Linked DNA regions of Ovis aries. The protein of the gene in region 1 binds, or shares a complex with, the protein of each later gene. Links are inferred from orthologs where the notes say so. Each region holds a gene or a part of one and is shown on either strand. Other genes may lie near its edges. The genes, in order: PLOD3 and COLGALT1.

Evidence for each region.
Region 2: the proteins of PLOD3 (region 1) and COLGALT1 are in contact, whole or in part, in a cryo-EM structure (PDB 8ZGE), measured with the Homo sapiens proteins. The link is inferred for Ovis aries from reciprocal best matches to the Homo sapiens genes PLOD3 and COLGALT1. Residues at the interface, in NP_001075.1 of Homo sapiens: Leu226, Val229, Val230, Leu231, Lys232, Phe233, Asp234, Arg235, Arg241, Gln261, Tyr264, Leu265, Pro275, Gly430, Ala431, Leu432, Arg440, Glu442, Glu446, Arg452; in NP_078932.2 of Homo sapiens: Ala36, Tyr37, Phe38, Pro39, Glu40, Glu41, Arg42, Trp43.

Annotation. Positions count from the first base shown.
Region 1 is NC_056077.1:35,919,003-35,934,483, forward strand, and holds the end of PLOD3 (multifunctional procollagen lysine hydroxylase and glycosyltransferase LH3), read left to right. Parts: intron 1-398; coding exon 399-496; intron 497-725; coding exon 726-827; intron 828-1,031; coding exon 1,032-1,157; intron 1,158-1,363; coding exon 1,364-1,485; intron 1,486-1,710; coding exon 1,711-1,815; intron 1,816-1,930; coding exon 1,931-2,056; intron 2,057-2,369; coding exon 2,370-2,511; intron 2,512-2,600; coding exon 2,601-2,714; intron 2,715-2,901; coding exon 2,902-2,970; intron 2,971-3,486; coding exon 3,487-3,591; intron 3,592-4,107; coding exon 4,108-4,254; intron 4,255-4,686; coding exon 4,687-4,812; intron 4,813-5,156; coding exon 5,157-5,312; 3' UTR 5,313-5,602; downstream 5,603-15,481. UniProt on the Homo sapiens protein: Multifunctional enzyme that catalyzes a series of essential post-translational modifications on Lys residues in procollagen. Plays a redundant role in catalyzing the formation of hydroxylysine residues in -Xaa-Lys-Gly- sequences in collagens.
Region 2 is NC_056058.1:5,309,838-5,325,408, forward strand, and holds the end of COLGALT1 (procollagen galactosyltransferase 1), read right to left. Parts: intron 13,024-15,571; coding exon 12,947-13,023; intron 12,870-12,946; coding exon 12,763-12,869; intron 12,513-12,762; coding exon 12,380-12,512; intron 10,828-12,379; coding exon 10,700-10,827; intron 9,936-10,699; coding exon 9,729-9,935; intron 9,531-9,728; coding exon 9,263-9,530; 3' UTR 8,002-9,262; downstream 1-8,001. UniProt on the Homo sapiens protein: Beta-galactosyltransferase that transfers beta-galactose to hydroxylysine residues of type I collagen. By acting on collagen glycosylation, facilitates the formation of collagen triple helix. Also involved in the biosynthesis of collagen type IV.

The DNA.
Region 1 (15,481 bases):
CTACCAGGAATAGCAGCAGCCCCTGTTGTACACGTCCATTGCTACGTGCCAGGCTCTGGGTCAGGGTTTTCCTTCTTGAATTTCATTGAACATAACAATCCTATGAAAGGCGGTCTGTGATTACCCACTGGTTACATATGGGGAAACCACCTCCCTGCGGGGCCAGAGACTTCCCCGGGGGGCACAGGTAGTAAGTGATGGGGCTCCCCAGGTGGCAGCAGCCTGGCCAGTGCCCTCAGAGAGAGACGTTATCCCATCCCTGCCCCATGGACCACGGTCCTTCATCCTCTAGAACACCTGGGTACCCCCACCACCACCACCTCCACTGTATTTAGAAGCACCTGCTGATTGGCAGTTTCTAGAGTAAGGGAGTCTAAAGCCTGGACTTTCTTCCCCAGATGAGGTGGTTTTAAAGTTTGGTCGGAATCGAGTGCGTATCCGGAATGTGGCCTACGACACGCTTCCTGTTGTAGTCCATGGGAACGGTCCCACGAAGGTGCTCCAATCGCTTCTCCCCTCAGCCCAGCCCCTGCCCCAGTCAGTCCTGATCCCACAGCCCCCCAGTTTCCTCCAGGCCTTCCGAGCCGTGAGACCTCCCCGGCCCCGGAAGCGCAGGAGCTGGAAGAGGTTCTCTGTGCCCACGCTCCCCCTGCCCTTCTCCGGTCCCTGCCCCCACCTCCCTCACCCCTGGCCCCACCTCAGCTTCTCACCGCCTCTCCCAACAGCTCCAGCTGAATTACCTGGGAAACTACGTCCCCAACGGCTGGACTCCTGAAGGAGGCTGTGGCTTCTGTAACCAGGACCGGAGGCCACTCCCGGGGGGGCAGGTGAGGAGGGGGTGCCAGGGTGGGTGGGAGAGTGCTCTGAAGCAGAGGGTACCAGGAGGGTGCTGGGCAGTAGGGGTGGAGGCAAAGCCCCTGGAGATCCCCCCGCCTCCCCACCCTCCACTAAACTTGGCAGGGTGCGGAGGACAAACTGGGTAGGGGAGCTGGGCTTTCCTCTGAGACCTGTCACATTGTTGAATCTTCCAGCCTCCCCCCCGGGTACTTCTGGCTGTGTTTGTGGAACAACCTACCCCGTTCCTGCCCCGCTTCCTCCAGCGGCTGCTGCTCCTGGACTACCCCCCCGACAGGGTCACGCTCTTCCTGCACAACAACGTGAGACACCCCGACTGCCAGCCTCTCCCTCCCAAGGGACCTCCCCACCCCTGCTGCCCAGATCAGACTTCTCCCCACAGCCCAGACTCCTTCCTGTAGCCTTTCCTCCTGCAGGAAGTGTTCCTCCCGCCCCGTCCTGTCCCTTAGATGCCACCTTTCTGCCCTCCCGGCGTCCCCACTCTAGTCTCTTCTCCCCGCACCTCCAGGAGGTGTACCACGAGCCCCACATCGATGACTCCTGGCCCCAGCTCCAGGACCACTTCTCTGCTGTGAAGCTGGTGGGGCCCGAGGAAGCCCTGACCCCAGGAGAGGCCAGGGACATGGCCATGTGAGTGAGCCTCGGGCGGGGCGCCTGCACCGTTCCCTCCCTTCCCCTGCTCCCCACGGTCTTTTTTTCCTCCCTCCTGACTTCCAGCTGGTCAGCTTCCTTCTACTCCCTTTCCCTCCTCTCTCTTCCACGGGTTGCGGGTCAGGGGAGTTCCACCCCCTACCCAGCCCCCGCCCCCCCCCCCACCTGCTCCTGTTCATCTGTGTTTTGGTCTGTTCCCTCCAGGGACATCTGCCGGCAGGACCCCAAGTGTGAATTCTACTTCAGCCTGGACGCTGACACCGTCATCACCAACCCGCAGACCCTGCGCATCCTCATTGAAGCAAACAGGTCTCTCTCACCGGGCTTGGCCAGAGGGCCCCCAGATTAGTCCCCAGGGAACCTCACCTCCCGCTCTGGCCATGGGGCTTGCCTCCTCCCTGCCCTCATCTGCGCTTGTCCACAGGAAGGTCATAGCGCCTATGCTGTCTCGCCATGGGAAGCTGTGGTCTAACTTCTGGGGGGCCCTGAGCCCCGACGAGTACTACGCGCGCTCGGAGGACTACGTGGAGCTGGTGCAGAGGAAGCGAGTGTGAGTCTTGCAGCCTCCCCCAACCCAGGAGCCCTCCCAGACCCCTCCATCCTGCCCCAAAGGCCCGAACTCGGGGGCCCCATGTGGCCACCACGAAGGCGTGCTGGGTTGTGGGGTAGCTAAGGACTGATGGTGGAGCCGGGTGTGAGAGGGTTGTGACCAGCAGGGCTTCCCTGGGGAAGCAAGAGGGACCTCGCAGCTCTCAGCTGCCGAGGGAAGGGGCTCCAGGGGTGAACTGGGCAGGACGGTGGGGGGGGGCAGGGGGCCGCCCGCAGGGGGCACCCACCTAGCTGACCCCTGTGTGGGCCTCCAGGGGCGTGTGGAACGTGCCCTACATATCCCAGGCCTACGTGATCCGTGGGGAGACCCTGAGGATGGAGCTACCCCAGCGGGAGGTGTTCTCGGGCAGCGACACCGACCCAGACATGGCCTTCTGTAAGAGCCTTCGGGACAAGGTGAGGGGGCCTGGGGCTCCTGGTGGGGGCGCTGGGGGGCAGCACGCTGGCTCCCCATCGCCCTCCTTACACCCTCTGCCCACTGCCAGGGCATCTTCCTCCACCTCAGCAATCAGCATGAATTTGGCCGCCTCCTGGCCACCTCCCGGTATGACACGGACCACCTGCACCCTGACCTCTGGCAGATCTTTGACAACCCCCTGGTGAGTCGGCAGCCCCTGGCTCAGATGGTTCGGGCCTTCCCTGAAGGGGAATGCCACGCCCCGGCCCCATCACACGCGCGTGCGCACTGGGCAGGGTCGCCTGCCGCCTGGGCAGGGGTCCTCCCAGGTGGGAGCAAGTGGTGTGAAGAGGGCAAAGGTCAAGGAGCACCCCCCCACTCTCCCCTAGGACTGGAAGGAGCAGTATATTCACGAGAACTACAGTCGGGCCCTGGAAGGGGAGGGGCTCGTGGAACAGGTGAGCCCCGCTCAGGACCCCGGCCCAAGGGGATGGCCGCTGCCCCTGGGGCCCACCACCTGGATGAGGGGTTCTCCCAGGGTCCTTGCCCAGGTGCCTGGGGGTTTTCTGCTCAGGCAAGACAAAGGCAAGGGCTGAGTTGATAGGCATGCAGCCCCCAGCCCAACATTCATCCCAGTGGTCCTCCCTTGTCCGTTGGGTGTGTTGGTGTATGGGTGAAATGACATTTTTTAAAACGAGGTTGAAAACCACTGTCCCAGAACCCAGGGCTCCAGCAACCGTGCTGTCTGTGCCGAGTTCTGAGCACTGCTCTCACCTTCTCTGGCCGCATCGGTCCCCTTCCTGACTCCCCCGACCAGCCCATCCCCACGCTCAGCTGCCCGTCCCTCCACGTTCTCTCCTGTCCTGGCTTACCTTTCTGCTCCCTGCTTTCTGTCTCCTCCCACTGGCTGCCTGTCCCCTTCTGGAGCATCACCCAGCCCTGTTTTCTTCTTCCCCTGCCCCGTCCTGACTCAGCCCTGCCCAGACGTGTACTGGTTTCCTCTCCTGTCTGAGCAAATGTGCGATGAGCTGGTGGAGGAAATGGAACACTACGGCCAGTGGTCAGGAGGCCGGCATGAGGTGAGGGGCCTGGACCGCGGAGGAGGGGGCCCCCAGGAGGAGGGAGGGGGCATTTCCCTGATTGAGGGAAAATGGAATCTGGAGAGTGGGAACAGAGAGGGGGTCCCCGAGCAGGAAAAGGCAGACAGGGGGCACCTCTGTATTCTTTCATTCCACCGTGCATTCAAGAAATACTCCCTGGGCAGGTCCTTAGACACCAGCCCCTGACCTGGACGTGCAGGTGGAGCTCTGCCCTCCACAGCCCCACCTGCCGTCAGTAGCAGCAGGGAGCTAGCTTCTGAAGTCTGTGATGGACAGCCTCAGTGCTGCGGGAGTCACAGGTGGGAAACTTGACCCAGATGCGGGGGGACCGAGGGCTTCACAGAAGAGGTGACATCTTCGCTGAGACTTAGAGGAAGGAGGTGTGAGTCAGCTAAGACGTGGCGGAGACTTCCAGAAGGAGGGAGCGCAGACTTCCAAGGCCTGGGAGCAAGAGGAGGAGAAGTTGGCACCACTGCGTCAGCTCTGTACCCACAGGACTCTAGGCTGGCGGGAGGCTACGAGAACGTGCCCACTGTGGACATCCACATGAAACAGGTGGGCTACGAGGACCAGTGGCTACAGCTCCTGAGGACGTATGTGGGACCCATGACCGAGAGCCTGTTCCCCGGCTACCACACCAAGGTGGGCCACTGCACGCCACCCCTGCTCCCTCCTCCGCCTTCCCACACCTGTGCTGGCTGGACGGCTCCACACAATGCCTTTTGGCCTGTGAAACATTTAAATAGGCCCCATAGAGTGAGATCCGGGCTCCCCTGGTGGCTCAGATGGTAAAGAAGCCGCTTGTGATGCAGGAGACCTGGGTGGATCCCTGGGTCGGGTGGATCCCTGGGTCGGGAAGATCCCCTGGAGGCGAGCACGGCAGCCCACTCCAGTGTTCTTGTCTGGAGAATCCCATGGACAGAGGAGCCTGGCAGGCTGCAGTCCATGGGGTCGCAAAGAGTCAAACACACAGAGTGAGACCTTGCAGGAGGGAAGCTCTGGGGGAGCAGCCCCCAGGGAGCAGTGAGAACCCTCCCGGCCATCCCCCCAGCCTCTCCTCCCCTGTGCCCGCAGACCCGGGCGGTGATGAACTTCGTGGTCCGCTACCGACCGGATGAGCAGCCCTCTCTGCGGCCGCATCACGACTCATCCACCTTCACCCTCAATGTCGCCCTCAACCACAAGGGCCTGGATTATGAGGTGAGTCCCTACCCTCCACTCAGGGTTCCCCCGGGCCCCTCCACACACACAGACACACACGCACTCCCCTCCCCCAGGCCCTGTGTCCAGCCCCCTCACAGGCACGGTCACCTCCCTGCCCCTTGTCTGCCCTCGTCACATCTCCCAGTGACCTCTGGGGTCATATTCTGGACCCCTTCTGGGCTGGCTACCCCCTGTGTCCTGTGTCCCCCATCTGCCGATGCTCACCCCTCTTGTCCCCTCCCTCCCTGATGCCCAGTTTGGCCTCTCTCGCCTCGGGGCAGCTCACCACCCAGTCCCCACGTCTGCGCACTCTCCAGCCCCTTCCCCTCTCGTCTCTCCAGGGAGGTGGATGCCGCTTCCTGCGCTACGACTGTGTGATCTCGTCCCCCAGGAAGGGCTGGGGGCTCCTGCACCCGGGCCGTCTCACCCACTACCATGAGGGGCTGCCCACCACTCGGGGCACCCGCTACATCATGGTGTCCTTTGTCGACCCCTGACACTCAGCCACTCTGCCCAGCCTTCCGTGCCATCGTGCCTTCCCGCGCCCTGCCTCCTGGGGCGGGGTGGGTGTGGACTCCTCGCCTCCTGGGTATATGGGGTCTGTGTGCCTGGGACTGAATGTGTCGCCTCGCTGCCCACCACACGGCCCTCAGGAAGCTCAGGGAGCCCCCTGTCCTGTTCCCCGGTCCCCAAGGGCTCATGGGGACAGGACCTCTGGGGGTTCGCTACATGATAAATTATTGTTTCTCAGTCTCCCTCTCAATAAAGGAGGGTTTGTAATTCTTGAGCCCATTTATTGTTTCATTACCTGTGGACCCCTTGTCCATCCCACCACCCAGGGCAGAGGGGACACCGAGGGTGACCCCAAAGGAGAACTGAAAAGGAGAAATGACAGAAACGTGATATTAGAGCAGAGTGGGAATCTAGAAGCTTCCTTGTCATTCCAGAGCTCGGGAGGGGTGTGTTGGAGGCCAGACCCAGAGAAGGACTTCCCCTGTCAGGATGAGATGAGAGGCCCCCACTCCCGCACAGCCCCCAAACTGTCGTCCCCTATTCTCTCCTCACCTGATGGCATCTTCTCCCATGCAGAAAGGATGAGAGAGGCACAGCCCTGAGCTAGGGTCCAGGGATAGTGCTGGGACACGCATTGTAGGAGGGAAGACAGGGTGGAAACTTATTGAGAGCGCTTGGACCTCAGCTTTTAGTCACATGGTATCAGGAGAGGGGAATCTGGAGGGTGAACCCAAGAAAGCTTCCTGGAAGAAGGGGAAGGGAAGCAGCCTTGAAAAAAAAAAAAAGACCTCCTAGAGCTGGTTTTGCCTCTAGTCTCAAGCATCAAAAGCTTGCAGAGACCCCTGGAGGTACCCTGAGGACAGCAGAGCAGGCCCCTTTAGCCTGGTCCTCCCCAGCCTTACACCAGCTGCCTTCCTGTGTTGATCTCCCAATGTTCCCTGGCGGACGCCTTTTAAAAATCAAGCACCTGTCCTAGGACATTTCCAGCTTCTAACAGTCCACTTGCATCCACAGCTAAATTGTCCTTCCTTCCTCCTACCCAGATTCCCAGGAAAACTTCATGCATGAAACCATCCTTCCATCCTTCCTGGACCCCTGGGTGGGTCACCTTCCCACGTGGACTGAGCGTCTCTCTGGCTAGACTCTAAAGTTCATCTCACCCAGGCCCCCACCACCCTCATCACTTGCCCTGTGATGCGAGTGGGCTGAGCAGGGATAGGAGGAAATATCCCTCTTAACAGAAGGTCCCTGGTCAGTGAAGCTGCATAGGTGTGAGGCCAAGGACAGGGGCAGAAAGGGTGTGTCAGCCTAAGCCTATCCTGTCTCCACCCTTCATTCACAGAGCGTCTCCCATGCGCTGGGCACCCATCTTGACGGCTGCAGTGATGAGCACAATTTTTCTGTTGCTCACGGTGTGTGGGAGACTTTGATCAGAAAATTGCCATGATGGGAGACTTGCCTGGTGGTCCAGTGGTTAAGACTTTGCCTTCCAATGCAGTGGGTGTGGCTTTGATCCCGGACTGGGGAGCTAGGATCCCACATGCCTTATGGTCAAAAAAGCAGAATGTAAACAATAAAAGCAACATTGTAACAAATTCAATGAGGACCGTAAAAATGGTCCACGTTAAAAATCATGGTGATGGAGAGAAAGTATTCTGTGCCAGGAGAGAATGTGATGCGTGACAGAGGCTTCTGACAGTTGCGTGTCAGACTTCCGTAAAAGAAGTGACATTTAACGTGGCTCAGGACTTCCCTGGTGGTCCAGTAGTTAAGAATCCACCTTACAATGCAGGGGATGCTGGTTCGATCCCTGGTCGGAGAACTAAGATCCCACATGCCACAGAGAAACTAAGCCCATGCAGCTCAACCCCTGGCTCCTCTGGACGGGGAACTCTTGTGCCAGAACTATAGAGTCTGTGTGCTGGAATGAAAGGTCCTGCTTAACACAGCCAAATGAATAAATTAAAAGATAAAGAAGTGACATTCAAAAAAAAAAAAAAAAAGACATGTCCTACCAGTGAGGAGGGTCAAGATGTAGGGGTGGGGAAATCAGCATCATCATAAAATACTGAGTTTAAGATGGGCTCAAGGATGTTTGTCCAAGATGGGAAATAGCGCCAACATGTTGTAGGAACTAGAAACGAGAAGTGACCTTTAGGGACTTCCTTGGCCAGTCAGTGGCTACGACTCCCTCTCCCCAGTGCAGGGGGTCAGGGTTCAATCCCTGGTTGGGGACCTAAGATCTCACAGGCTGCACTGTGTGGCCAAGAATTTTTTAAAAGAAAAGTAATCTTTAAAAATTGTATCAAAATGTTTTAAAAAGATTTTTAAAGTGACATTCTAGGAATTCCTTGTAGGTCCAGTGGTTAGGACTGCCCTCTTATGGCCAAGGGCCCAGATTCAATCCCTGGTCACAAGGCAAGGCGCAGACAAAAAAAATAATTAATTTAAAAAGGTGTCAGTCCCTGACCTGGAAAAAGTGGTTGCTCTGCAGCCTCTAGCCATGTTGAACAGGGCCATAGTCACAGTGAGGACTGGCCCGGCCGGCATGGATGGAGTGCTCACAGCCCAGGGGGCTCGCACTTGCAGGGGCTCCCCAACCCTTAGCCTTTCCCATAAAACCCTTCCCTCCAGAGGTCTCCCCACAGAGGCCTAAGTTGCTCCTCAGGGAGTAAATCCTCCTGCAGGTCCTCTAACCAACAGGGGCCAGGCCTGGGTGACAAATGGGGAGTCCTGCTGTGGAGGGTACACACACACACGGCAACTTCCACTGGCCCAGGACGCTGCCAGTGTGCTCATCACAGGGAGCCAGTCCTGACCTCCACAAAGTCCAAACACCTTCCTCACCGCCAGACTCCAAGCCATGTCCCTGGTCTCCCCTTTCGGCCCTATTGATCCCAACCCTGTGAACCCAAAGAGCTGGTTAACCCTCCCTTTCCAGAGCTCATGATGGTCCACTGTGCAGGTCAGCAGAGGGAGCAGAAAAGAGGGCAGAGCCCAGGTCAGGGGTCAGAGCCAGGGGTTGGGCCAGAAGACAGAAAGCTTCAGAGCCGCAGTGGCTCCTGTGTGACTCCCCTCTACAGAAGGCCAGCCGCCTCCACCGGCCTCCAGGTGAGTGCCCTCCTGCGATGGATCGTCTCCGTTTTGGAGCTTGGTGAGTCCCTGAAGCCCTAAGGACCCCTGGGTCTGGCTCTCTGTTTCCCGATGCCAAGGTGGGAGGGAGGCGAGGCTGGGATCTCTTGCCAGGGCTGGGGGGGTTCCTTCAAGAGATGAGAAAGATGTAGGTTGGACAGATGTACCTGAAACGATGGAACAGGGAAGGGGGTTAAGGGGAGAGCTTGGACTTAAACCTCTGGAGTCAGAGTCCTCACACCCCTTCCCATCACCTCCAGCCCAGGAGTGCATGACTGCCTTATTCCTTGTACTCCTGAGCCAGGCTTGGATCCTAGAATTCACTACCTGGATGGGCTCTATGGAGACAGAAATACACCTTGGGCAGGAGGCCGTGGCTGTGCCTGGGTCCCCAACTGGGCCACGTGGAGACATTTCTGGGACCACCTCCCCATCTCGCTGAGGCACTGTGGAGCTCTGTGCTGGGTGGGAGCTGGGCTTCAGGGTAGACCCTGGTCCCAGGGTAGACCTCTGGGGCCGTCACCCCCAAAGTCCAAACTTAGAAGCCCCAAACTGGTGTGCACCCTGTGTCCGCAGCTGGAGGCACCACAGTGTTGGGTCCCTCCTACAACTACCTCTTGGTGGAACCTTCAGCACCTTCAGCACACAGACCAACGGCTTCTCCCTCCTCATCCCTGGCCTCGAGCCCCACCTGCTCCAGCTGCCCCATCCCGGCCATCTTCCTGTCTTCCGGGACTACATCCTGTGTGCTGGTGAGCAGGGGAGCCCTGGGTCTCAGGACCCCCAGTCCCTGCGGTCACCTCCTCCCTGCCCTCCTTAGCCTCTGGGGGTGCCTGGTCCCAGCTGCATCTCCCAGTGCCTTCCTCCCTCTTTTCAGGAGGACTCAGATGTCAGTCTTCAGGCCTCTAACTGCACTGAGAGGTGAAGGTCCATGTTTGGGACCTGAAATTCTGGCAGCCAGCCTTGTCCCCAGGCTGGTCCTTGACACTTGGGCCGACCGTGAACTCTGTCCCAGTTGATCCTGGGGGCCGGGAAGAGGAGTTGCAGCAGCCACCTCTCTGGCCTCTCTCCGCCCAAGCTGGGTCCCCAACCCCAGTGCAGCGAACCCCGAGGCTCACCCCTGCGCTGGTGGATGGCTGAGTGTGGCCTCTCTGCAGCGGCTCTCCCAGCTTTCCAAGCGCACAGGACACGCTATGGCGTCCCCAGCCACATGCACCTCCTCCTCAGCTAGGCAGCCCCCAGCCCGCAGTGGTTCTGTTGTAGGAAAGGGGACCCCTTCCAGGGCCCGAAACTGGGCTCTTGTCTAACACTCAGAAATGAATTGTCTGAGGAGACACATCTGCTGACAAAGCAAGAGATTTTATTGGGAAAGGGCACCCGGGTGGAGAGCAGGAGGGTAAGGGAACCCAGGAGAACAGCTCTGCCACATGGCTTACAGTCTCGGGTTTTATGGTGATGGGATTAGTTTCTGGGTTGTCCTTAGCCAATCATTCTGACTCAGAGCCCTTCCTGGTGGTGTACACCTTATTCAGCCAAGATGGATGCCAGAGAGAAGATTTTCTGGGAGGTGGTCGGACATGTGGTGTCTCCTTTTGACCTTTCCTGAACTCTTCCGGTTGGTGGTAGCTAATTAGTTCCGTGTTCCTCAGCAGGACCTCCTGTCATAAAACAACTCATGCAAATAGTTACTATGGTGCCTGGCCAGGGTGGGTGGTTTCAGTCAGTGTGCTTCCCCTAACAGTTCCCTCGGTGGATGTCATGGGGACTGAAATTAAAGGTGGAAACCACCTGTGCTGTTTGTGCTTGGCTGGAATATCGACACGCCTGGCTGCACCTCCCAGTGGCCTAGACACTGTCGAAGACCCACAGACACACCAGGATCCGCTGGCCACACTAGAGATCACAGAGTCCCTAAAGCACCTGGGGGTGGGCCTTGGTGTCACGCCCCCAACTCCTCCCGCTGACTCCAGTGTGCTCTGCGAAGTGAAGGTTCCTTTTGGGGGCCTGAAATCCTGGCTGCCCTATCACAACAATAGCAGCCCTGGACTCTGTCCTGATTGACCTGCTGTGCTGGTGGGTTTGATGCTGAGAAAGATTGAGGGCGGGAAGAGAAGGAGTCGACAGAGGATGAGACGGTTGGATGGCATCACTGACTGGATGGACAGGACGAGTCTGAGCAAGCTCCGGGAGCTGGTGATGGACAGGGAGGCCTGATGTGCTGCAGTCTATGGGGTCACGAAGGGTCGGACACGACTCAGCGGCCGAACGGAACTGGCTGGTGGGTTTGTGCGCAGCATGGATATCCGCGTGCCTGGCTGCACCCCACAGTGGCCTAGACACTCCCGGAGACCTGCAAACAGAAATGGGGCGAGAGCCCAGGATCTGCTAGCCATTCTGGAGATCACATGGTCTCGGCTGAGACCCAGTCTGTGGGCTCTCTGGCTTCTTCTGTGACCCCTCCCCCACAAGATTCCTAATGCACCTGGAGGGGAACCTGGGTGTCAGGCCCTAACCCACCGCTCAGCCTCGCCCAGTGATCACACAAACCCACCCACTGGAGAAGTTTCAAGATCAGTTGTCAGGAGCCTGGAGACCTGTGGAGCTCCAGATTCAAAGGTCTCCACTTGCACAGTCTCCTGTGAGCAATCGCAGAAGGCCTCAGGGACTTAGCCACTCAGACTGGAAAGGTTACCCAAGCTCCTATCAAAGCCTCCATCCTTTGTCCCCCTGGTCCAGGAGCCCTGCTGGCAGAAGGGCTGCACCTGAAAGTCTCCACCGCCCTGATGCCTTCCCGCAGCCAGAAAACCCTGCAGAAACTGGCTGGAAGTAGTGAGCACCTGCCAATACATGCTCACTTTCCTCTTCATGGGTGAGCAGGGCAGTGCCCAGGGTACACTAGGGAAAAGGGGAGCCTAAGAATGGGGAGGGGAAGGAGAGCCGCACCTGTGTGGAGGCCCAAGACAAAGGGAGGGGGAGAGGTCCAGCTGGGAGATGGGTGGCGTTCTCACTGGTGAGAGTGGAGGGGAGAGAAGTCATTGTGGTTTTAAAAGCTAATTGATTTTTCTTTCTCATTTGTACCCAGGCCCTTTCTTTTCCTTTCTTGCCTTCTTCCTCCTCTTTACCTCCCTCTGGTGGCTCTCTGTTCTCTACTCCGTATGGTTATTCCTGGACCGGGACACACGCCGCCAAGGTGAGCGCTTAAACAAGGGTGCGGGGAGAAGAGGTGATAAAGGGTGTCTCCAGGAATTCCTCCACCCCGCCCTTATCGCTCTGCCCCAGACGGAAGGCGTTTTGAGTGGATGAGGAACCGGACAGTTTGGAAACACTTAAGGGATTATTTTCCCATTAAGGTAACAGGTCACCCTCCACCTTCTGCTTCTTCTCTGTCCCTTATCTGCCCCTCCCCAGGCTGAGTCTGAGCCCTGGCTGCCTAAGTTCAGGCAACAGGTCAGGCAATGGGATGGTGATCCAGAGGGCAGCCCTTGTGCCCTTGACACCCTAGTAGGACCTTGAACTCTCACGTCTGTTGGTGGGAAGAGAGGTCTTTTCAGCTGGTATCTTGCCTTCTCTGCTTTCTTCCCCTCATTCTGCCCACCCCCCTCCCACAGTTGGTGAAAATGGCAGAGCTGCCCCCAGACCACAATTAGCTGCTGGTCACTCACCCACATGTGCTTTGGACACTTCTGTAACTTCGCGACTGAGAGCGCGGCAGGCTTCAGCCCTAGACCACCGGGCTGAACAACCTCTTCTACCTTCCAGTCTATCGAGACTACTTTTTGTCATATGGTAAGTCTTGTCCCTGGTGGCTCAGACAGTAAAGCGTCTGCCTATGATGTGGGAGACCTGGGTTCAATCCCTTGGTCTGGAAGATCTCCTGGAGAAGGAAATGGCAACCCACTCCAGTATTCTTACCTGGGAATCCCATGGACAGAGGAACCTGATGGGCTACAGTCCATGGGGTCGCAAGAGTCAGACACGACTGACCGACTTCACTTTTCTTTCAAGTCTTGACCTGAGGCGAAGGAGGGGTCCCCCCACTCCTGCCAGAGTGGCCCACCACCCAGCCCCGGGACCTGACTTGAACATTGGCCAGGCTTACAGTGGGAGTCAGTGACTGGTCTGGGAGCGAGCATTCCACATCCTTGCTGGGAGAGGTGCTGTGGGGCACACGGACAGAGGCACGGGGATATGGAGCTTGGAAGGAAAGAGGTGGAGAGCTCATACTTCCTGTGCTAAAGGGCAGAGTGAGGGATTAGGGAGCCAAGTAGCGGGTACTGACTGTCCCTGCACCCCGTCTTGTCCACAGGAGTATGTTCTGTGAACCACCAGAGCCTGGATTTTACTCTGTCCACTCCCAGCTCGGCCAGGCTGTGGTCATCGTGATCGGCAGAGCCCACGAGGCCCTGTATGCCATCCCAGGGGAGCACTGCCTCACTCTCCGGAATCGTAAAGGCTTCGTCCGCCTGGCACTGAGGCACAGGTGAGTGGGGGCCCAGCCAGGGCTGCCTTCAAAGGTCAGAACCTCACAATGTCTCTGGGGATCTGCACTCTATCCCTACACACCGGTCCCCTGGAGGTGGGCTGTGTGTCCCCAGAGCCTCCACCGTGACCACATCTAGGCAGACCTTGGGTGTTTCCTCTGTGCCTAGCCCTGGTGCCCCTTCCCCAGGCTTCCTCCCACACAGAGAGACAGGATCACAGTACAAACTGCTGGACCTTGGGACTCAGACACCCTGGGTTCACAATCTTTTACGACACCGTCTCACAGACAAGAACTTGCACACTTCTTTTTTTTTAAATCCATCTATTATTTATGTGTTCATTTTGGCTGCGCTGGGTCTTCATTGCTGTGTGGGCTTTCTCCAGTTACAGTGACTGGGGTCTAGTCTCCAGCTGTGGTACGCGGGCATCTCTGTGGTGGCTTCCCCTGTTGCAGATCACAGGCCCTAGGCGCACCGGCTCAGTTGAGTACACTGACTTCATGCCCTACCGGATGTGGGCCCTTCGGGGACCAGCGATCAAACCCATCCCCTGCATTGGCAGGTGGATTCTTAGCCGCTGGACAACCAGGGAGGGCCCCACTCTTCTTTACTTGTGATACAGGGTTAACACCCACGTTTCTGCCATATGGTGGTTGGTAACTGTGTGGAAAAATGTATAGAGGACAGCCCAGTACACACTCGTTTCTCAAGAAACATAAGTCCCTTCTCCCAGAGAGTTCTTTGTAGCCACTGTCATTTGCTTCAAACGGTCTTGGGAAGTGGTATCTTGTGGGGGAGAATGTGGGGGCACTCCTAGACCCCTGATCTGACTAGCCGTCTTCTCTCTTGCACACACACACCCCCCCCCCCCCCCCCCCCCACAACCAAGAGCCTCCCTGGTGCCTGTGTACTCCTTTGCGGAGAATGACATCTTCAGAGTTAAGGGTTTTGCCCCAGACTCCTGGCAGCATCTGTTCCAGATCACCTTCAAGAAGCTCGAGGGCATTTCTCCTTGCATCTTCTGGGGCCGCGGTCTCTTCTCAAACAAGTCCTGGGGCCTGGTGCCCTTGGCCAGACCCATCACCACTGTGGGTAAGCGCCCGTGTCCAGGGGAGAAGGCCAATGAGAGCTGCATAGGCATCCGAGGCCGCTCCCCTGACCTGTGTTCCCCTGTCCCTGCAGTGGGCCGCCCCATCCCGGTGCCCCAGTGCCCGCAGCCCCCCGAGGAACAGGTGGACCGCTATCACGTGCTCTACATGAAGGCTGTGGAGCAACTGTTGGAGGAGCACAGGAGAGCTGCGGCCTCCCGGCTTCTACTCGCCTCACCTTCGCCCTGGCCTCACCCGTCCCCACCTCCTGGCCCTCCCAGCCCCTGATCCCAGTGCCCGAGCCGCCCACCGGCTGCCATGCTACTGTGCCAATAAGAGCCAGTTCTCTCACCACTGCTTCGTAGAGTCTCTCTGGGCGTGAGCCTGCCCACGTGGGTTCCATCTCCACCTGATCGAGACAGACTCGCTGCCTGAGACTGACAGCAGGGCCCTGAATTCTGCCCCCAGAGACTGAATTCTCTCTCGGCTTCCACCTAATCTCTTCCCTTGGCTGGGCCTTTCTCCTTCTAAATAAAGGCATCTGCTTAGCTAAGAGTTATAGGGCCTAGAATGGTATTGGGGAAGGTAGATCCCTGAAGAACTATTCTCTGAAGTGTGGACAGGATTAGGTGGGTGCAGACAGTAAGGTAGGTGGTGAAATACTGTCAACAAAAGCTGACATGGATCAAGAGTACCTCTCGGAAGGGAGAGTTGGAATGAGCCTTCGTGATAGGAAAGAAAGAGTTAAGTACACAGCTTCCTTTTGCCTCTGCTCCCATCCTTCCTGTTGCCTCGGGGCTGGGAGCTCACGTGATGCAGGGGTTTATTTTACCATATGAAGCCCTACTGCAAGCCCAGCATTAGGTCCACCTGACCTCATTCACTCAGTGAGAAGGGATTCTTGGCAAAACTAACTTATTAGGATCAAAAACTTTAACAGAGTTTGGCAAAAGAAGAGCCAGTGAATTTATCACTATCATGTCCGTCACCACCACCATCATCATCACAGGCATGGCACCAGTGAAATATTGTGAGGGACTTTATGTGATCCAGTGGATGGGAACCGGCCTGCCAGTGCCGGGGACGCAGATGGGACCCCTGGTCCGAGAGGATCCCACGGAGCGACTAAGGATGCCAAGGACCAACTAAGCCCAAAGGCCACAGAGACTGAATCTCTGTGGGGACCAGGAGCCGCAACCCCTGAGCTTGGAAGCCACAACTACTGACGCCGTGAGCCTAGGGCCTGTATTCTGAAAGTAGAGAAGGCTCCACAATGAGAAGTCCATGCACAGCAAGGCAGAGTAGCCCCATTCGCTGCAACCAGAGAAAGGCCTTGCACACTAACAAAGACCCAGCACAGCCAATGATAAACACATAATTTGAAATATTTGCAAGACTTTTTAAATTTTATTTTCTTCTATTTTATTTTTAGCTGCGTTGGTCTTGCTTTTA
Region 2 (15,571 bases), on another chromosome or scaffold:
AAGAACATAGTGCATGCTTGTAAGGCGTGTCAACAGATGAGGCCAGGAAAAGGACAACATGCAGGACTGAGGTATCGGGGAAAAGGACCAGGGCAACACTGGGAAATAGATTTCACCGAGGTAAGGCCAGGCAAGTATGGTTACCGGTACTTGTTAGTGTTGGTGGATACCTTCTCAGGGTGGGTAGAATTTTTCCTACAATGGGAAAAACCGCGATGATAGTGGCAAAAAAGATTTTAGAAGAAATAGTTCCCAGGTTTGGCCTGCCAGTGACCATCGGCTCTGATAATGGACCTGCCTTTGTGAGTCAAATAGTTCAGAGCCTTGCCCTAGCCCTGGGGACCAAATGGAAGTTACATTGTGAATACAGTCCACAGAGCTCAGGGCAAGTAGAAAAAATAAATCGGACTCTAAAAGGAACTTTAACTAAATTGGCTATAGAGACTGGCGGGGACTGGGTGACCCTCCTTCCCTTCACCCTCTTCCGTGTGCGTAATACTCCTTATCAACTTAATCTGACCCCATTTGAGATTCTGTATGGGAGACCTCCCCCTGTATGTCCAATATTTGAAGGGAAAAAACTGCCGCCTCCCACGTTGGGGCAACTCCAAGAGGCCTTGATGGCCTTAAGCAAGGTGCACTCTTGTGTCTGGAAACTGCTCCGGGAAATACATGTGGGTCAAAATAAGGGAACTATTCCCTCACATGACATTGGCCCAGGAGACTGGGTGTGGGTCAAAAGACACCAAACCAAGGCACTAGAACCCAAATGGAAGGGTCCTTATGTTGTTCTTCTTACCACCCCAACTGCCCTAAAGGTTGACAGTATCGGGCCTTGGGTGCATTGCAACCACGTACGCCCAGCTGCTTCAGCAGAGCAAGAAGACGCTAAAAAAGAATGGAAAGCATCTCTGCACCCGTCCAACCCCTTGAGGCTAAAGCTTCGAAGGCGCCAAAAGGACCAGGACAACTCGGCTGGGCCCTCTTGTAGATGACCCAGTTACTCTGCTCTGGAGTTGCCAGCGTGAACCTGCATCAACCCGTCAAAATCACCTGGAAGCTGCAAAACGGACTAACACGAGAGGTGCTAAACTCCACTACCGCAATACATCCACCAAACACATGGTGGCCAGACTTATACTTTGACCTTAAGCCGATGGTAAATGTGCCTTGGGCTAGGGGTTATCTCTGAGAACAAGGGTTCTGTGGGGGGGCACAAGACTCTTATTGTAAAACTTGGGATTGTGTTACTTCTAATGATGGACCTCGGCCCTGGGAAGTAAAAAATCGAGATTTACTTAATTTTTCATTTGCCAAGCCCCTCCCTAGGGTCCTTGGAGATCCAACTTTTAGCTGTGAAAGTTGCAATTATGCACAAATCAGAATAAGGTTCAATCCAGAAAAAAGCAAACAGGAGGGGATTAGATCTGCTCTTTCTGCAACAAGGGGGACTCTGTGCTGCGCTAGGAGAAGAGTGCTGTTTCTATGTGGATCATACAGGAATAGTTAGACAATCTATGGCCAAAGTGAGAGAAGGACTAGCCCAATGTAAACGAGAACGTGAGGCTCAACAGGGATGGTTTGAATCTTGGTTTCAACAATCCCCTTGGCTGACTACCTTAATCTCCACCTTGCTGGGACCCCTGCTAGTATTTTACTAATGCTTACCTTTGGCCCATGCATTATCAATAGACCTGTAGCCTTTGTGAAGGAACGCATAAATACCGTACAGCTGTTTGTGCTTCAACAACAATATCAAACTGTGTCTCAGGACCGAGAGGAAGATTCCTCTATATGATCTAAGGACAGGGGGGAATGTTAGGGACCAAACGACGGTCTCTAGGACCTGAGTCATGTTTACCAGAAAGAGACAGGATATGCGCTCATCCTGCCTGGCCAATCATGTAACGCCAGCTACTCCTGTAACTGAGACAAAGAACTGCCTGTATATAAGCCGCCATACTCCTTTGTTCGCTGCTCTTGTCGGATTCCCTTGTGTGGGATGAGACTTGAGCCCTAGCACGCTAGAGATAAACTCCCTTCTTGTTTTTGCATTACTGTGGTGGACTTGCTCTCTCCGTCGGTTCGGAGATATGGGCTCGGAGCATAACAATTATATTATATTACCAGGGCTGATATGGCCATGCAGAACCATCTTTTCATCTTGCTTCTTCTCCCTCAGGGTCCAAGATGTCTGCTCCAGCTGGTGGTAAAGGGGGAAGGCCTGAGGAGGTCAAATGTCATCCCTTCAGGCAAGACCAAGAGGCTGTGACCATTGCTTCCATTAGGAGTCCTCCGACCAGAACCTCCCTCTGGCGTGTACCTAGTTGCAAAGGATGCTGGGAAGTGTGCTCTTTGCGGCCATTTTCTCAACCATAGTTATAGTTAAGAATGTTACTGGGGCAAAACCAGAAGTTTCTACAAGCACAGAGAACTATATTCAATATCCTATGATAAACCATAAGAGCATCCCTGGTGGCTCAGATGGTAAAGAATCTGCAGCAGTGTGGGGGACCAGGGTTCAGTCCTTGGATGTGGGACGTTCCCCTGGAGCAGGAAATAGCAATCTACTCAGTATTCTTGCCTGGGAAACCTCTTTCTCAGAGAAGCCTGGCAGGCTACAGTCCATGGGGTCACATGGACACGACTGAGCAACTAACACACATATAACACGATAAACCATCGTGCAAAGGATATTTTTAAAAAAGAATATACATATATATGTATAATTGAATCACTTTGCTGTACAGCAGAAATTAACACGTTGTCACCAACAATAAAAAATACATATTGAGTAAAAAAAAAAAAAACCTAGCAGTTTCTCCCAGGTGACCCAGCTCCCAAACTCATTCACTCAGGAGTCAACAAATTTTTTTCTGTAAAGAGTCAACTAGTACATATCTTAGGCCACACCGTTTCTGACACCACTCTTCAACTTTGCCACTGTAGCATGAAAGCAGCCACATGTGAATGATGGCAGGGTTCAGTGACGATAGAACTTTGCTCGGAAAAACAAGCTGCTCTAGTTCAGGGGAGCACTGCTCACACTGGTCAGGGGCTGGAAACAACCCCAGGTGTCCATCAACAGATGAGTGGATGAAGTGCAGTCCATCCATCCGGTGGAGTGTTACTTGGCTTTAAAAAGGAAAGAAGCACTGATGCATGAACAATGTGGATGACCCTAAAAAGCATGGTGATGAAAGAAATAAGACGGAAGAGACTGCACAGATATGATTCCATTCATATGAAATGTCCAGAGGAGGAGACAGAAAGCAGATTGCCAGGGGCTGCAGGGAGGGGACATTGGGGAGTGCCTGCTCAAGAGTACTGGGTTTCCACTGGGGTGATGAAAATGTTCGCATAACTTGGCGAATGTATCAAATGGCATTAAATTGTACACTTTCATTGGTTACTTTGATATTATGTGAGTTTCACCAAAATGAACAGTAAATAATTTTTAAAAAAGAAATCGGGGGCTTCCCTGCTGGCTCAGTGGTAAAGAATCTGCCTGCCAGTGCAGGAGATACAGGTTGGATCCCTCATCTCAGGAGCTCCCACATGCTGCAGAGTAACTAAGCCTGTGAGCCACAACTACTGAGCCTGTGTACTGCGACTACTGAAGCCCTCGGGCCCGGAACCTGCGCTCTGCAACAGGAGAGGCCACCACAATGAGAAGCCCGCACACCGCAGCTAGAGAGGAGCTCCCGCTCACGGCAACTGGGAAAAAAGCCCTCGAAGCAAGGAAGACTCAGCACAGCCAAAAATAAAATAAGTAAATTTTTAAAAAGAAATGGGGAGGGAAAGAAGGAAACGCGGACTTCCCTCGTGGTCCAGTGGTTGAGAATCCACCTTCCAATGTAGGAGACAGTCATTTGGTCCCTGGTTGGGGAACTAAGATCCCACATGCCATGGGGCAATGAACCCTGTGTGCCACAACTACTGACTCTGCAACAAGGATCCTGCCTGCTGCTGCTGCTGCTGCTAAGTTGCTTCAGTCGTGTCTGACTCTGTGCGACCCCACAGACGGCAGCCCACCAGGCTCCCCCGTCCCTGGGATTCTCCAGGCAAGAACACTGGAGTGGGTTGCCATTTCCTTCTCCAATGCATGAAAGTGAAAAGTGAAAGTCAAGTTGCTCAGTCGTGTCCGACTCTTAGCGACCCCACGGACTACAGCCCACCAGGCTCCTCCACCCAACTGGGACCTGATAAATAAATAAACGCTTTAAAATATTTTTTTTTAGTGTAGCCACTATGGAGCATTGGATGAGAGGTCCTCAAAAAATTAAACAGAATTACCATACTGGGGATTTTCCAGTCAAGAATACTGGATTGGGTTGCTATTTCCTCCTCCAGAGGAATCTTCCCAACCCAGGGATCAAGACCATATCTCGTGTCTCCTGCATTGGCAGGCAGATTCTTTACCTCTGGCGCCACTTGCTGTGGCTCAAAGGTTCAGTAGCATCCCCAGGGCATGTGGGATCTTAGTTCCCTGACCAGGGATCGAACCTGAGTCCCCTGTACTACAAGGCAGATTCTTAACCACTGGACAACCAGGGAAGTCCCAGTTTAAAAAAAAAAACAACAACGATGAAACATGGCTGGCCAGATTTGGCCCTCAGGCCATAGTTTGCCAACCCCTGACTTAATCCATTTTTAAAAAAAATATTTATTTTTTATTTATTTGGCTGAGTTGGGTCTTAGTTGAGGCATGTGGGCTTTTTAGTTGTGGCATTCAAACTCTCAGTTGCAACGTGTGGGATATAGTTCCCTGACCAGGGATGGGAACACAGGCCCCCTGGATTAGGACCTCAGAGTCTTAGCTACTGGACCACGAGGATGGTACAGGACTTAATCCGTTTTTCTTCAACTTCCCCTCCTGGTTCTTCTCACTTCTCCCAACCTTAGGCTAAACTCTATCACCACCTTCCTTATACTCACCCCACCCTCCACTCTCACCTGAACCCTCGGCTCCCCCTTAAACTACGTAACCCCACTGTCTCCCCACACCTCTTCGTCATGACACCTGCCAACACAGCAGGCTCTCTCAGAGAAAGTCAGCAAAATGCATACTCAGTCCCTGGAGGGTGTAACATGACTGTGATGTCTACGAGAGATTACATTTCATTCCGTAATTTGTTACACTGCATTATAATTATTCAGTTCCTAATCCTGCAATTACACAGAACAGTTTCTATGATTATGCAGTCTGTAATTACATAGTCATTCTTCCCACCATCACAATGGACAGTCACTAAATGAGAGGGAGTGCTGGGCTGACATCAGCACCCGCCCCCACCCAACTCCTTTCTGGGAAGAGGCTGCAGAGCTGCAGCCACACTGCGAGAAGTCCCTGCATCAGTGTCTGCGCTCAGGTCCACAGGCCACAGGAGCCCTCGGGCGGGAGTGGAGGGTTGGAAGGCAGAAGCAATCGGAGATGTCTTGGTTTTGCTTTCACTTCACACTGCCGGCAGTGGGGCATGGAAACATCTGATATTTTGGAATTCAAATTCCCTTGTTCAGTGAAAAGCAGTTGTGGGCCTTCCCTGCCAGTCCAGGGCTTAAGACTCCATGGTTGCATGCAGAGGCACAGGTTTGATCCCTGGTCGGGGAACTAAGGATCTTGTATGCCACACGACATGGCCAAAACTCAGAACAACAATAAAAGAAAGGCAGTTCTGATGGAGACAGATACAAGGTATGTGCCCCAAGTTGGAGCTTCCTAGAATCTCCCAACTGCCCCTTCTGTGAGGGTGGGGAGCCTCAGTTCCCCCTGGTAAGCCAGTTCTATTGGAATGTTCTAGAAGGATGTGGTTCTCCCAGTTTCAGAGAGCAAAGGAGAGATCCAAGTTAGATAACAAGATACCCACGTGTGTGCGCAGTCACCCAGTTTTGTTCGACTGTTTGCGACCCCATGGACTATAGCCTGCCAGGCTCCTCTGTTCATGGGATTTCCCAAGCAAGAATATCGGAGCGGGTTGCTATTCCCTTCTCCAGCAGGATCTTCCCAACCCAGGATCAAACCTGAGTCTCTTGCGTCTCCTGCATTGGCAGGTGGGGTTTTTTTTTTTTTTTTTTTACTACTGTGCCACCTGGAATGCCCCATAGACAACTGGACTGTTGCTGTTGTTCAGTGGCTAAGTCATGTCCGACTCTTTGCAACCCATGGACTGTAGCATGCCAGGCTTCCCTGTCCTTCGCTATCTCCCAGAATTTCCCGATTCACAGTCGGTGATGCTATCTAACCATCTCACCCTCTGCTGCCCTTTAAATAAAACTCTGGTTCCTAGGCATCACCTCCAAGATTCTGACCTCTTCAGTTTGGAAACAGAGCCTAAGAATCTACATTTGAATCAGAGACATTTCATAGCGAAGGAAATTTTACTCACGCCATGAAGAAGTCTCTTCTAGAGGCTCATGTCTTCAGGAGGCTGAATGGAACTGGGTGTGACTGTGGACTTTTAAGGCCCAATCATTCTCTGTTATGGACCTTCTCCATGCACTGCATGGTTAATTTCTGTCCACCCGATGCCAATAGCACCCACCCCCAGTCATGACAACCAGAAATGTCTCCAGACATCACCAGATATCCTGGAGAGACACAACCCAATAGTGACCCACCAAATTTTAAAATCCTAATTTAACCGCTTAGAGTTAAGATATGGAACCATCACTCGCAACAGTAATGCATGAGAAATGATTCCAGTGTCTGATGAGAGGGGACTGGACACCCTGGTAGACAAAGATGAATAGTTAGGATTTAACAAGAGTAAATATGGTAGTCTCTACTGAAACATCAAGCGTTCATTTCTGTTAACCCAGCAATCTCATCTGTATCAATTTACCCAACCGAAATAAAAAATCCAGTAGGAAAGATGTGTTGTACAATGCCGTTCACTGCCGGACTGTGATATTCTTCGGTCAGGATGATTGAGTAAATGGTGGTCCATCCTGATTATGGTATTTTTTATTGTATGTAACAATCCAAAAAGAGCTGGTAGGTGCCTGTGCTGATTAGAATGTCCACAATATGCTGTTAAAGTTATAAAGAACCTTGCTGCGGGTGAAAAAAAAAAAAAAAAAAAACCAGGGTACAATTTGATCCTGTGTTTCTGAAATAAAAATGTGTGGGAGAAAATACAAGCCGGCTGTAACAGAGTTTATGTAATATGAAACTTCTTTTTCAAAACATGTATATATTTGCACCATGCACATGGGTAAGACTGGAAAGTTTTGTCACCAGAACGTTAAGTTGTTGTCTCTGAGGAGGTATGATTTAATTTTGCCTTTTTTCAGTTTGCTTAGCTGTAAATTCTCATTTCTTCACTAGAATCACACACCATCTGTTATTTTGTAAAAGCCTCCGGTATATGCCTCCAAGCCCTAAGGGCTTAAGAATCTTGAAAACGTTTAAGTATTTGACCCAGAAAATGTACATGTTGTTGAGGGTGGATAAATGCCCCACCTCCCTCATCTGGGGGCTGGGACCACTCTAAGGTCGATGCTATATATTGCTCAGCCCCATCTAAGGTCCCCAGTTACTGTAGTTAATGGCTCACTGTCGCAGTGTCGGACACAACTGAGCGACTGAACTGAACTGAATGGCCCACTGGCGACCCCTGCAGGACTCCTTCCCGCTCTTCTTTGCGTCACCCTGGGGGCCATCTGGGGGTCATCTCTTGGATAACTCAAGTCCTCATCTCAGGGTCTATTTTTTTGAGACTCCAAACTATGACCGCGCCCTCCTCATTCTGTCCTCTGAGACAGTCCTGTAGCTGACCCTAGAGGGTAGAGTGCGGCTGGCCGTCTGTCGTCCCTGCACTATGCTGGATAAGTTCCACAGGGCGCTTGGGGCACCAGGCTCTCATTCCGCCCTCACCCGCCTCACTGGCTCCCCGCCAGCACCTGGTCTCCTCCCATGTCTTGGCCTGAAGCAGGGGGTGGGGAGTGTGGGTGGTGTGTAGGTGATGAGCAGACCATCGGGCCAAGAAGGGAACACAGATGTATGTGAAAACCCAACCAGGAACATTTAATAAAAAAATAAGCAAGTTATCCAGAACCCGACCGGGACAACAGTTAGTTACCCCTCAGAGGACGAGGCACCGCTGGCCGGTTCTGACATTCATTTCAGGCTTGAAGGCACGGTGAGTCCTCCAGGCTGTGCTGGGGGACTTCCTGCCCGGGCCATGGATAGCGCCCCAGTGCAGCGGAGCCCGTCCGAGGCCCCAAACACATGATCCCACCAGAGGCTTGGACAAAAGAATGCCATCAAGCAGGTAGACCACACCTGAGATGCAGGGCAGGGCGGCCAAGCAACCGAGGACAGGGGGATCCTCGCCCCCTCCAGGGGGGCTGGGTCTAGGGGAGCCTTGCATGAGGGCGTGGGGTCACTGAAACTCGTGGCTCTCCCTGCTGAGGGAAGTCACCCCTGCTCCTGGGCAGTGGTGGGGGGATGTTATGCACACACATTTCAGGTGACGGGGGTGGTGCAGAAGAGGAATCAAACTCAGTCAGCCCCACCGGGAGTCCGCGAGGTCAGGCACACAGCAGGCACGCAGTAAGTGCTCGCTGCATGAAGAAATGGAAGGACTCGCCCACCTCTGTGGGGGCTCGAATGCTGACTGAACAGCTGTTGTCCGGTTTCCTGCTTCACTAGCGCAGGAGATGTTCTCTGGATGTGTGGAGAAGAAACCAATTAGAGTGAAAAGCACCTTGATTATCTTCCGCCCTAGCACCATGCTCAGCTCCCGGCACACAGCAGGCACTCCATAAATGCACTGAGTCGGTAAGAACTTTTGTGTCACAAGTACCGGGCACAGAGTTGGTGTTCAGTATGTGCTCAAACAAATGAAAGTATGCCTCACTTGTCCCAGAGCCTGGGATGGTGCCTTACATACAGCAGGCACTCAATAAATACTCGCAGGAATTGAAACAGTGAATGTGTATCACTAGGGCCTGATTCTTGATGGGGGATCTATAACGCTTGATGACTGACTCCATCAGCAAGGGAACCTGGCACCCTGCAACCAATCCAAGTTTGGGTGCACCCAGAGATGAACAGTTCCCACCCAGGCCGCCTGGCATACAGTAGGCACTCCATTAATGCTGCCTGCGTGCACGTGATTGCTGAGCAAGAGCCGGCTGGACGCCGCCCAGTGAGGGGAGCCCTCCGGGGCCTGCCAGGGGCCACAGGTCCCCGGTGGGCGTGTGGGGGCCGGGCCAGCGACCACTGCTTTGGCTTCACGGCCACTGCCCCTCAGAGCTCTCAGAGCTCATCCCGGGCGGCACTGTCCAGCGGGGACTGGAGCACGTCGGAGTTCTTGGCCTCGCGGCTCAGGGCCTGCTGTTCCCGCATCTTCTGGGACTTGGCGCGGTCCCAGTCGGTCTTGACGTGCTCGTTGTTCCACACGACTGAGGTCTCCGTGTCGCTCACGTACCCGTCATCCCCTGTGTAGTGCGTGGGGTAGATGAGCAGGGGCTCCACGGAGAAGGCGCGCAGGTCCCGAGGGGAGAAGTGGACCTTGTATTCAGACCTGCAGGGGAGGAGCGGGGTGGGGGTCAGAGACAGATGGAGACAGAAGCGCGTGGCGAAGGGGACTCATGAAGGAAGCGGCAGAGGAAGAAGGCAGAGGAGAAGCCCCCTCCTGGGGCCCGCGAGCCTCACACCCCCTAACCAGGCCAGCTGCACAGCGAGACCCCAGCTCCCCTTGCCCACTGCCGCCCCCGCTCACACTGGGTGCTTGTCGAACATGACTGGCAAGAACTCGTCCACGGGCAGCATTTTGGAGAGCGGCCGGGCAGCCAGCAGCTTGCGGGCGCCTTGCAGGGAGATCACGTAGGCCAGGGTCCAGTACGAGTAGTCGGCCTCCACCAGGTTCCTCACGCGGGGCACAGCCTTCTCGGGGTGCTCCACCTGCATCCGCTTCCGGCCCACGTAGCTGGGGTGCAGAATGGGGGCTCTCTCACCCTCCGCCTGTCTACCTGCCCAAGAATGCTAACCCAGGGAGCCACTGAGCCGCTGTCAGACCCTGGGGTGGGGGAACTGGGGAGCACTGCGGAGGCTGGTGTGACTGGACTGGGTGAGAACAGGTCCACAGATGTCTAGGGCCCACAAGGAGCAGAGTGCGACTGAGAAGGAAGCTGCTCTGGGTTCAGAGGGCAGTGGGACGGGTGGGCAAGGTGGAGGGTTCAGGTAAAGCGGTCAGGAGTGAAGGGGACCCATTACTGCTCATTTTAATGACACGCTGGTGAGTCTGAGGCTCAGAACCCGGATCAGGGCTCTGCACAGGGGAGGGATGAACCAACCCACCTACATGAGACTGTTCTGGAAATACGTTGGCCACCCTCCACTTAGAAGTGGTCTAAGATCCAGGCTCCCTGGGCCACCCCCCACACTCGGCACCAAAGGCTCCGCCCTGCTTCCAAGCCTTGACCACACCCACCCAGGCCACACCCCCAAGTTCTTTAGCCACACCCACAGGCTTCCAAGTCAAATCTCAGCCACACTGGCTAAGAGGAAGGCCCCAGGCAAGTCTCCAGGCCCCGAAAGAGCTGGCAGGCTTCCAGGACCCCCGACTTCCAGGTCAAGTATGAGTCCTCCTGCCAACCTCCCACAAAACCCAACCTATTACCCTGCAAAGGCCCTCAGAGCTAGTCTCCAGGCCACACCTCCAAGTTCCGGCCCCACCCAGGCCCGACTCACATGAGGTCCCAGTCCAGACCCTCCCGCTCCACATCCCGCATAAGGTTCATCAGTCGCCTCTTGAAGAAGATCTCGAAGCGTAGGTCATCCTCAAACACGAGGGATTTCTGCAGCCCGCGGTCCACAACCTGAGGGAGGAGGCCCCGCTGAGATCTTGGAGAGATCAAGCCTGGGCCTGACCCCAAAGCTAGTTCTGCTTAAGAGGTCTGGGGCACCAGGAAAAAAGCAAAATACGCACACACACACCACCACAAGTTCAGATCTACCTCTTGGCCAAAACCTCCTTACAACTTGGAAGCAGATTCCACAGCCTCAGCCTGGCTGCCCCTTCCCACCCCAGGGCCTGGGCCTGCCCTGTGCCTTTGATACAGAGCACCCTTCTCCCATGCAGCAGCAGGCAGGATCCCTCTCACCCTGCTGGCCTCAGTTCCAACGTCAACTAAAGAGATCCTTCATGACTATCACCCAAAACTGCTAGTTTAGGACGATTCATAACCCTGGACCTCTCCTGTAGGTGCCTCTCACTTATTTCAACATTAGTCATTTCTCTGTGGTTTAGCATCAGTCTCCCCAGCTCCTAGGGCTGTGAATCCCCTGTGGGGGGCTGGGTGTGCCTTGGGGGCTGTCGTGTCCCCTGGCCCAGCACCAGGCTGGGCACGCAGTCGGTACTTGACAAATCTTCCCTGAATGAATGAACTTGCTAGTCTTCATGGCTGAAGACTCTCTTCTTCATCTGGGAAAATGAGGCTCAGATTGGGAAATGCCTTCCTTGCTCACAAAGCTCACCCCGCTCAGAGGCAGGGCTGTACTTGAACCTGGATCCCCTCTGGCTCCACAGCTTCCTGGACACCGCAACCTTTGCCCCATACCTTCCATGATGAATGTCAGAAAAATAGAGCAACCTGGGTGAGAATGCACTGCCTCAAACACCAAATGTGGCCTCAAGTTGGATGGTTCCAGGTTCGAAGCCCCATCTGGCATCCTCGCCCATCATACCCTTTCCCTCCCAGGGTGTCTGATGAGCCTCTGTGGCTGATGGGACACCAATGTGTGGGCTGTGCACTAGTTAACATCACTGTGGCTGGTGCTCCTATTAGTAAGCTCTGAGCATGGTGCCCAGGCTCTAGATTCTTGACAGTGGCTGGGTATGAAGAAGCTTCACTTGGAGGTCCCGGGCCTCAGACCCCACCTGTTTCTACAGTCAGGCTCACTCTTCCTCAGATTCAGGACTCACATCTGCACAGTGGGAAGATGGCAGCTGCCCCACCAGGTGCCATATTCACCCAAGCAGAGAGGCTGAGTGTCCTGCAGTGTTTTTGGAAGCCTGCCTGGGGTGCAGGGGATTCCCTTCCTGAGCTGTTAAGAAGCCCAAGGAGGGGACTTCCCTGGTGGTCCAGTGGTTAAGAATCTGCCTTCCAACGCAGGGGACACGGGTTTGATCCCTGGTAGGGGAACTAAGATACAGCATGCCGTGGGACAACTAAGCCTGTGAGCCACAACTAGAGACTCCGAGAGCCACAACTGGAGAATCCCCTAGCTGCGACGAAAAGCCCCTGTGTGAAGGGAAGATTCTGAGTGCTGCAGTTAGGACCGGAGGCAACCAAATAAATAAAAATCATAATACATAACATTAAAAAAAAAAAAAGGCTGAGGAGGGTCCCGCCCCTCTGCCAGAGGTACCTCCTTCCAGATGTTGTGGTGGCTGAGGAAGCAGCCCAGTTCGCCCTTGGTGAGGGGCCGCCCGTGGTAGGGGTCCCGGTAGCCCGGCAGCATCTGGATGCCCAGAGCCTCCACCTGGCTGGTGTTCATGGCTCTGCAAGTGGGGAGGGGTGGGAGGCAGAGGAAGACTGTATTTATCCACAATCCCACCAGTTAGTGAGCCTCCCTTCCCCACCCTCCCCCAACCCATCCCGGACCGGATGTGGCCTGCCTGGGTGTGGTCTATACCCATGCGCAGGTCTGAGCACCTGGCCAGCGTCAGACCCACGCCCCCGCCGCGGGGCCATCAGGGTGGTCTATACCCACCCGTGGCGCCGCTCCTCCCCCAGCACGGTTCAACTCACTTGCCGTCCACAGCCTCCACCAGCCGGCACGCTATCTCCTGCTCTTCCAGGGCCCGCAGCATGCGTTCCCGCCGGTCCTGCCGCCGCTTCAGGTTGATCATGAAGACCTGCGGCCCACAGCCTCTGTTGGACCCGGGCTGGACCCCGGCCCCCGGCCCCCACCCTGAGGGAAGGCCCAGCCTACCTCGTCAAAGCCCATCTTGTCTGGCGTCTTGGTGGGCACTGAGATGAACCGCGAGGGCTCCGAGGGTGGGTGCTTCACTGGGGGGCAGCAAAGCCGAGGGGTCAGCAGGGGGTCATGGAGACGGAGGGCTCCAGCCTCGCTCCTGATGCCCCCTCCCCAACCTCTGCATGGCTCGGTGTCACCCCAGGCTCCTCAGCCTGATGCTAGAGACCCTGCCTGACCCTGCCCCACCCACAGAAGCAGTGCCAGTCTCTCTCCTCTGCCTCTTACACACTCTGGCTGTTGGCACTGCTCCAGACTTATCCATCCCGTAGTCCTACCTCTGGACCTTTGCACATGCTGGGCCTCGCTGAAACCCTGTTCCTTCCTCACTTCCTTTCCCTGAGTTATCAGCTAAGATGTCTTGGGGAGGGGGGCGATGCACCAACAGCAGTCTCCTGACCTCCCCAGGCTGAGTCAGGTACCTCTCTGGAGGCCCTCACAGCACCCAGCTTTCCGTCAAAGCCTCATTCGGCTGCCTTAAGTCCCAATTCTCTGATTATCTCCCGTGAGCTCCACCAGACGGACCCCAGGTCCACCCACTCACATTGGCTCCCTGGCACCCAACAAGGAGCTTGGCACAAACTCATAAATCAAGCAAAGGAATGACATTCCTCATCTGTGTTGTCCAGTCGCTCAGTTGTGTCCGACTCTTTGCGACCCCATGAACTGCAGCACGCCAGGCTTCCCTGTCCTTCACTACCTCCCAGAGTTTGCTCAAACTCATGCCTATTGAGTTGGGGATGCCATCCAACCATCTCATCCTCTGTCGCCCCCTTCTCCTCCTTCCCTCAATCTTGAAAATGGACTAAAAAACCTCTCGAGGTTTCTATCATGAGGCGATGCCATGAAATCACATGTTATTTTGGGTTAAACTGTGTCCTCCCCCCAAAAGGTACACTGGCATCTTGATCCCCAGTACCTCAGAAGGTGACTTTGTTTACAAATAGGATCTTTAATGAGGTCATTAGGGTGGTGGGCTCTAATCAATATGGGCTTTCCCTGTAGCCCAGACGGTAAAGAATCTGCCTGCAATGCAGGAGACCCAGGTTCGATCCTTAGGTCAGGAAGATCCCCCGGGGAAGGGAATGGCTACCCACTCCAGTATTCTTGCCTGGAGAATCCCCTGAACAGAGCTGCAGTCCATGGGGTCACAAAGTGTCAGACACAACTGAGCCACTAGCACATATACACTTGGCATGTAATCAGTATGATTGGGGTCCTTATAAAAATGGGAAATCTGGACACAGAGACCCCCACGGAGGGTAGACGGGGTGAGGACACACAGGGAGCTGGCGGCCGTGTGACTGGAGTGGTGTCTACAAGCCCAGGTATGCTAAGAATTTCAGGGTGGTCATGAGCGCTCCCCTTTTAGCTGCTGTGGGCAGTGCTCAGACCACATCCCCAGAGCCCTGTCTTGGCCCTTCCCTGATGGTTTCCCATAGAAGGAATAGATTCACAGGGGACTATGAGCCTGCTGAGGCCCAGAAAAGCCCAGCATGCCAGTGAGCGTGGCATCCACCTCCCCAAGAACAAAGGCCCCGTGTGAGCTAGCAGGGCAGACACAGGCCCCTCTGTCTAGGAGAGGCCTGGGTGAGGCCCAGAGTCCACCCGGAGCCTCCCACCTCGAAGCCTGGGCCTCTTCCTCTAGGGACACTGCACCCTGGGGCTTCTTCCTATTCGGGACCCATCACAGCTCCCTGCCACCTGCTGCCATCCTCAGGGGACCCTGGGACCCAAAAGGGCAAGGCTTAGGGATCTGAGAATCCGGCTGCAAATTACTCTCCCTCTCTTTCTCAGTCTCTGCCTGCTCCCCTTGGGGTGTACATGTGGGAAGGATCTGCCTGTGGGAAGTGGAGTATCAGTTCTGGGGAAATGGAGCATATTAAGGTCCAGAAAGAGCAAGGCAATGCAGCTATGTCACAGTGATATAAAAATGCAACACCCCTTGGGACTTTCCCCGTCATCCAGTAGCTAAGAATCCGCCTTCCTGTGCAAGGGATGCAGGTTCAATCCCTAGTTGGGAAACTAAGATCCCACATGCTCTGGGCAACTAAGCTGGCACATGGGCCCGTGAGCTACAGTGGAAAATCCCAGAGGCTGCAACTAACTCCAGACACAGTCAAATTAACCAAAAAAAAAAAAAATTTGTAACATTGATAGACCTATCATAGGGTGAAGGATTAAACTTGACCACAGAGAGGTCTGGCCTTTGCTCTCTGCTGCTGGGTAGTTGAAGACCTTGGAAATGTCTTTGTTTATTTCAGGCCTTGGGCCATAATGGGTATCTATGCCAACAGTGTAACTTAGGGTTGGGGTCTTGGCTCAGGCTCTACAGCGACTGGAGACGGGGGTCAGCCACATGGCATCAGCTGTATCTGTATGAGCCCCAGCATAAGCCCGTGACGCAGAAGCTTGGGGAGCAGCCCGGGCTGGCAGTATGCCATGCATGTTGCCGTGCGCTAGCGCTGGGAGAAGCAAGCACTGTCCATGCGACTCCGCAGAGAACGGACACAGGAATCCCTGTGCTCGGAACTCTCCTGGATGCTGCCCCACGCGCCTTTTCCCTTTGCCAAGACTGCAACT